Linked DNA regions of Lonchura striata. Each later gene encodes a partner of the first gene's protein in a complex. Links are inferred from orthologs where the notes say so. Each region holds a gene or a part of one and is shown on either strand. Other genes may lie near its edges.

Region 1 (3,746 bases):
TTAGGGAATCCCTCCAAAGGGCTCCATTCCTGAAATATTCCTGAGGACAGTTTCCTTGAGAACATCCCTGGAGCCAAAAGAGGCAGTGCCAAGGTTATGTAACGCACTTTGGGGCTGCATGTCCTGGAAAATATATTTATTTCTATATTCCATATCCACCTGAAGCAGCAGCCAGCTGCCCAGGGAAGTCACAATTCCCAAGTCCTTGTCTCCTGCCTGCTCTCCCACCCACCCAGCTGGAGCTGAATTTCTCCAGCACTGTGCTCTGCAGGATCAGCCAATCCCATCCACTTTCCTCCCCTTCCATTGTGCTTTTTCAGCTCCATTTTCAGCAACTCAAGAGGGAATCTCAGATGTTCCCAGCCCCAATTTCAGGGGACAATTTGGCTCTCAGCACAGCTGGTAGGTGGCCCATCTTACCTCTTCCTTTTCCATTAGTTTATTTCTGCTAGAGAGCCATGAGGGCCAGAGGAATTATGGAGCTATCAGGTCATTTCACAAAGATACAGGCAGGAATTATTTCCAAATCACTGAAATTAGTTAGATTTTCCCTAATTTCAAAAGGAATAAGTACCTTCTAAAAGAGTTTATTTGACATAAATGTACATTATTCACACTATTAAATGGTTTAATGAGAAACAGCCCATGTTCCTCTTTCATAGGTGTAACAAAAATCCCAGTCCATCCTTCAGCCACTTCCCAGCAGGAAACTGGCAGAGATCACTTCCAAGAAAACTGGACATCCATTTCCAAAATGTATTAAGTTATCCATAGGCCCTGGGTGTTAGAGTTTCCCTACTAAATATCCATTTACACCAGGAAGAAAGCAACCACAGAGCCCCAGAACCCAATATGGAAGGAAAATTATAATTTATATTAAGGTTTCTTAATGTCCTGATGGAAGGGAAAAAAAATTAATGGATAATTTCTCCTTGGAAAAGGTGGTCAGGATTGGAAGGGGGTGTCCAAGGAACTCCTGGAAGTGGCACTCAGGGCTGGGGACAAGGCTGGACTTGATGGTCTTGGAGGGCTTTTCCAACCTCAATGATTTTGGGGTTCTGACATAAAAATGGCCAGACAGAGCAATCAGAGATTCTGATGTCAGCACTAATTTAATTTTTAGAGCAGAAGGAAAAACCCCTTTTCAGGTCACATGGACCTAGGCTGGTTTTTCCAACATTCCCGACCAAAGCCAGTGCTCAACATGACCAAAAAAGCCCTGAAAGTTGCATGGCCACAGAACCAGCCTCTTCTCTGTTCGAAGTTCAGCCTTCCTTGTGTAAACTTTGCAGAATTGGGTAAAAAGAGATATCTACAGATAAATCCCCGGGCAGGATAAATGTACTGCTGCAGCAGATTCCCAAAATCTTTTCCAGTGAGAACACTGAACTTGCCAGAAGTTCTTACTCCACTGTAAGAAAGAACACAAGTTTTACAGGAACATTTACAGAGAACTGGAAGTTAAATAAAGAGAATTACTACAACTTGTAAGCTCTGTCCTAGAGAGAATAAATGAACACAGCCAGGACAAACTGATTTGTTTGAGGCTGGGGAAGTGTCTATACAAAAGGAAGGAATTTGGGTCCTTTTGAACCAATATATCTTAAATTATTCTGGAACCACAGAATTTGCTGCTGCTGTGTACAAGAAATTTCCTGATTTCTTATGTAAATACTGTATTCCTCTCCATATCAACCACAGAATTGCAGAATAGCTCAGCACCAAGAGTTGGGATTAAAACCAAAACACAACAGATATGACAGGCAAGGAGGAGAGCAATGAAATAAGATCATTTTTATTTACAGGACAAATGAGAAATCCTAGAATTCCCTGGCTTATCAGCATGGGAAATAGGTTCAGAACAACCTGAAATGAGCAGGACCCACAAACACCTGCACTGGGCATGGAAAATCATATAAACCGTCCCTGATTTTTGCAGGCACTGCACTACAGCTGGTTTTAAATATTAAAAATCTCTAGAAAGCATAAAAATATTTTAGCAATAATGTCTATGCACAGCATCTTCTGACCTGTTCTTTAAAGTGCCGAGGGCTTTCCAGTCCTGTTGGTCTGAGCATGGAATTCCATTTTGCCATTGAGTATATTAAAAACCATTCTTAATAAAGAGTTCAGAGTAAGTGGTACACACAAAATAGAAATGAGTACGACCCACAATGAATAATTTTGCTGATATTAAAGCTTTAATAAAAGCAACCCAAGTTGAGCAGAAGCACAGCTACAAATCCAACTCTAAACCTGCTGGTGGAGCCTCGCCCCCAAGACTCGACAGCAAAACGTCCCGAACTCTTCAGAGTTTCTCCAGACCCTGGAATTTCTCTTGTTTGTAGTGAAACCACTCCTCATTCATGCTGTGGATCTGTCCTTCCTTACGAGCAGAGCTCCTGGGATTCCTTGGCATTTAAAGGTTGTATCCACGTTATAGGTACGCTTGGAAGTTAAGGGCTCTCAGTGTGTTCATTATAAAATACATTCATAAACGCTGTACCATTCATTGACTTTCCGAAGTTCTCTTCTATCTCAGCTCCCGCAGCATCGGGGACTCACAGCCCACATTCACCGAGATTTACTTTTGTTTTGCTTCTGACACTGAATCTCAGGGAATATAAGGAGGGAAAGGGCTGAAACTGCCTGGATCTGCGAGCGGGATGTGGAACCGGCTGGGGGCTGTGCTCAGGGGGATAGTTCAGGATATCAGAGGGGGGGGGGGGAAAGCGGATAAAAAGAAAATTCACCAACCTTCTCCTTGCTCTCGGGGTTCCGACTGGTGGCTGAAGACGCTGTTCCGACGGCGAGCCCAGGACGGGCGCTGCCCTCAGCCCGGCTCCCCTCAGCCCGGCTCCCCTCAGCTCCGGACACTCAGCCCGGCTCTCCTCAGCCCGGCTCTTCTCAGCTCCGGCTCTTCTCAGCCCCGGACACTCAGCCCGGCTCCCCTCAGCTCCGGACACTCAGCCCGGCTCTCCTCAGCCCTGGACACTCAGCCCGGCTCTCCTCAGCCCGGCTCTCCTCAGCCCGGCTCCCCTCAGCCCCGGACACTCAGCCCGGCTCCCCTCAGCCCGGCTCCCCTCAGCCCGGCTCCCCTCAGCCCCGGACACTCAGCCCGGCTCCCCTCAGCCCGGCTCCCCTCAGCCCGGCTCCCCTCAGCCCCGGACACTCAGCCCGGCTCCCCTCAGCCCGGCTCCCCTCAGCCCGGCTCCCCTCAGCCCCGGACACTCAGCCCGGCTGCCCTCAGCCCGGCTGCCCTCAGCCCGGCTCCCCTCAGCCCCGGACACTCAGCCCCGGCTCCCCTCAGCCCCGGCTCCCCTCAGCCCCGGACACTCAGCCCGGCTCCCCTCAGCCCCAGACACTCAGCCCGGCTCCCCTCAGCCCGGCTCCCCTCAGCCCGGCTCCCCTCAGCCCCGGCTCCCCTCAGCCCCGGCTCCCCTCAGCCCCGGCTCCCCTTGGCCTCCCTCGGCTCCCTTCAGCCCGGCTCCCTCCGTCCCCAGCCTGCTTCTCCCCAGCTTTCCCCGGTCCCCCTCAGCTTCCCTCGGTTCCCCTCAGCCCCGACCCTTCCGCCGCCCCGCCCCGGCCCAGCGCCCCGCCCGCCGCGGCCCCTCGCACGGGATAGCCGGGATGGGGCTGGGAAGGGTTTGGAACACCGGCACCCTCGCACGGGATAGCCGGGATGGGGCTGGGAAGCGTTTGGAGCCCCAGGAGAGGCTGAGGGAGCCGGGAAGGGGCTGGAGAAT
Region 2 (3,285 bases), on another chromosome or scaffold:
GGGACCCCCAACCCCCAGAGGGACACCCCAGCCCCCCCCGAAGGACACCCGGCTCAGGGACATCCCCAACCCCCACCCTGGGACCCCCATCCTGGGACCCCCACCCTGGGACATCCCCAACCCCCTCCCTGGGACCCCCACCCTGGGACATCCCCAACCCCCTCCCTGGGACCCCCACCCTGGGACCCCCATCCTGGGACATCCCCAACCCCCACCCTGGGACCCCCACCCTGGGATCCCCACCCTGGGACATCCCCAACCCCCACCCTGGGACCCCCACCCTGGGACCCCCTCCATGGGACATCCCCAACCCTCTCCCTGGGACCCCCACCCGGGGACATCCCCAACCCCCTCCCTGGGACCCCCACCCTGGGATCCCCACCCTGGGACATCCCCAACCCCCTCCCTGGGACCCCCACCCTGGGACCCCCTCCATGGGACATCCCCAACCCCCACCCTGGGACCCCCACCCTGGGACATCCCCAACCCCCACCCTGGGACCCCCACCCTGGGACCCCCTCCCTGGGACATCCCCCTGGTCCCCTCACCCCGGGGTCCCTGTGGGTGCGGCCGCGGGGGTCTCCAGTGTCCCCCCTACCCAGACCTGTGGGGACGCTGTCCGGGCCGGGCTGGGACCGAAGCCCCCGGGGGCTTTGGGCACCTCCTTGTCCCTGTCCTTGTGCCCCCCGGCCCCTGCTGTCCCCGAGGTGGTGGCAGTGCCACCAGCCGTGTCCCTCGGCCCGCGGGGACACCGAGGGTGACCCAAGGGACCACGGGCCCCCCCCGGCCCGGCCGGTGGGGTGGTGGCACTGGGGGGTGGCCGTGTCCCTCCATCACCCGGCCCCGTCTCGTTCCAGGCTCAGCGAGCGCGGGCGAGGCTCCGGTGAGTGGCACTGTCACCCCGTCCCCTCTGTTTCCCCCGTGTCACCACCGCACCCCCGTGTCCCCGCATCCCTGCGTGCCCCCCACTCCCATGTCCCCCCGTTCCCGTGTCACCCACGTCCCCCTATCCCCAAGCTGTGGGTGACACGGTCACCCCAGTGTCCCTCCCGCACCCACCGGGGGCAGGGGTCCCCAGGGAGGTGACACAACCCAGGGGCCCCAAGGCCCACCCTGGCCCTCCCCTCCCCGCTGCGAGCAGCGTCCCCCGCTGGGCACGGCCGGGCCGCGGTGGCCTTGGCGGAGGTGACAAAGGGAGGTGACAAAGGCCCGAGCGGCACGTGCCGGCGGGGACACGGTGGCACCGTGACACGGCGACGAGGGCTCCGGGGTCCGTGTGCCACCGGCGCCGCTTCCCACACGTCCCCTACCCCGTCCCTGGTGACACCAGCCATCCCCCAGCGTGCCGGGGGTGGCGGTGACACGCGTGTCCCCCCGTCCCTGGTGCCACCAGCCATCCCCCAGCGTGCCGGGGTGGCGGTGACACGCGTGTCCCCCGTCCCTGGTGCCACCAGCCATCCCGCAGCGTGCCGGGGTGGCGGTGACACGCGTGTCCCCCGTCGCAGAGGCCGGCGGGATGCGGTGTCCCGGCGTGTCGCTGTGGGGGCTGCTGTGCCTGGGGGTGGCGGCGGCCGGGGGTCGCCCCGTGCGGCTCGAGGGGCTCCGGGCGGACGCGCGGGCCCTGACCCGGACCCTCAGCACGCGCCTGCAGCAGCTCCAGGTGACCCCGGCCCGGGGACGGCGGGGACACCGGGGGAGGGGGCTGTGACACCCCCGGAGGGGCCCGGGGGGACCCCAGACCGGGGGCGGCGTTCCCCAGACTCGGGGGCTGCTCCTCAGTACGGGGGGACCCTGTTCTCCAAAGTGGGGTGGGGTCCCCGGGGGGGTCTCCCATGGGGGGTCCCCAGGGAGGGGCACCTGGGGCTGGGTGGGTGTGGGGGCTCTGGTCCCAAACCGGGCACCCCCAGGGATGGGCTCTGGAGGGGTTTGGGGGGCTGCACCCCCAGGGATGGGCTCTGGAGGGGTTTGGGGGGCTACACCCCCAGGGATGGGGTCTAGGAGCACCCCGAGGGTTGGGGGTCCCCAAGGAGGGACAGCCATTCCCGGGGGGCCCTGCGCCCCAAGCTGACCCCCGCCCTGTGCCCCCAGCTGTTCCCGCTGACCCTGCGCGTCACCGGGCTGGAGGGGGTCCCGGAGGGGGTCCCGGACGGGGGGGTCCCGCCGGGGCTGGGCTGGGCCGCCCAGCGGCTCCAGCTCTTCCAGCGGCTCCTGGGGGCCCTGCCCGGGGGCGACCTGCGCCTGGCCCAGGTGGCCAACGACCTGGAGAACCTGCGGAGCCTGCTGGCCCTGCTGGGGGCCCTGCTGGGCTGCCCCCCGCCCCGCGAGCCGCCGCCGGCGCCCCCCGCCCCGCTGGCCGAGGCCCCGCACACGGTGGCCGGGGTGGCCCTGGCGCGGCTCCGCGGCTGCCTGGACGGGCTCGCCGCCTGCCTCGAGGGGGTCCCCGCGTGTTAGGGACCCCCGGGAGCCCGGGGACGCCGCCGGGACCCCCGGGCCCGCAGGGACAGCCCAGGAGCTCAGCGGGGTCTCATCAGGACCCACAGACGGGACCAGGACCTCAGCGGGGACACACGAGTGGCCCCGGGCACCGGAGCGACTCCAGCCGCTGCTGCACCTTTTTCTACGTTGCTGTTATTATTATTATTATTATTATTATTATTATTATTATTATTATTATTATTATTATTATTATTATTGCTACTGTTACTATTTTTATTAATTTATTTAATTTAAAGCCCCTTTTCCAGCAGCCTCACTTGTGTCTCTGATGACTCTGGGGACAAGGGACACCCCTGGGGACACCTCTGGGGACAAGGGTCACCTCTGGGACAAGGGACACCCCTGGGACAAGGGATACACCTGGGGACACCCCTGGGGACAGGGACAACTCTGGGACAAGGGACTCCCCTGACAACAGGATCTACAGTGTCACGGGGGCAGCCGGTGACAAGGGACCCCCGGGACACGGGGGCAGCCGGGGACAAGGGACCCCCGGGACACGGGGACAGCCGGTGACAAGGGACCCCCGGGACACGGGGACAGCCAGGGACAAGGGACCCCTGGGACACGGGGGCAGCCGGGGACACCAGCGGGGCCCTGGGATCTCCCCGGGCCAGGGTGACACAGGGACACGGCCCCGGTGACTCAGTGGCAGCTGATGACTCGCTGGTGGCTTTGCCATCCCCCGCCTGCTGTGACCCCCACACTTCCAGCCCAGGGGGGACACGGGGCTGGCTGGGACCCCCAGCCAGGTGGAGACAAGGAGAGGGGGACAAGGGGACAGGGATG

The links.
Region 2: the proteins of LEPR (region 1) and LEP are in contact, whole or in part, in a crystal structure (PDB 7Z3R), measured with the Mus musculus proteins. The link is inferred for Lonchura striata from reciprocal best matches to the Homo sapiens genes LEPR and LEP. Residues at the interface, in NP_666258.2 of Mus musculus: Tyr439, Leu440, Thr441, Arg466, Ser468, Leu469, Tyr470, Gln499, Pro500, Ile501, Phe502, Leu503, Leu504, Ser505, Val560, Phe561, Glu563, Asn564; in NP_032519.1 of Mus musculus: Lys26, Val27, Asp30, Thr33, Leu34, Lys36, Thr37, Thr40, Arg41, Gln92, Gln96, Asn99, Asp100, Glu102, Asn103, Asp106, Leu107, Leu110.

What each region holds. Positions count from the first base shown.
Region 1 is NC_134611.1:5,535,767-5,539,512, forward strand, and holds the start of LEPR (leptin receptor), read right to left. Parts: upstream 2,824-3,746; 5' UTR 2,758-2,823; intron 1-2,757. UniProt on the Homo sapiens protein: Receptor for hormone LEP/leptin. On ligand binding, mediates LEP central and peripheral effects through the activation of different signaling pathways such as JAK2/STAT3 and MAPK cascade/FOS.
Region 2 is NC_134607.1:73,000,186-73,003,470, forward strand, and holds LEP (leptin), read left to right. Parts: upstream 1-1,397; 5' UTR 1,398-1,516; coding exon 1,517-1,660; intron 1,661-2,088; coding exon 2,089-2,451; 3' UTR 2,452-2,746; downstream 2,747-3,285. UniProt on the Homo sapiens protein: Key player in the regulation of energy balance and body weight control. Once released into the circulation, has central and peripheral effects by binding LEPR, found in many tissues, which results in the activation of several major signaling pathways.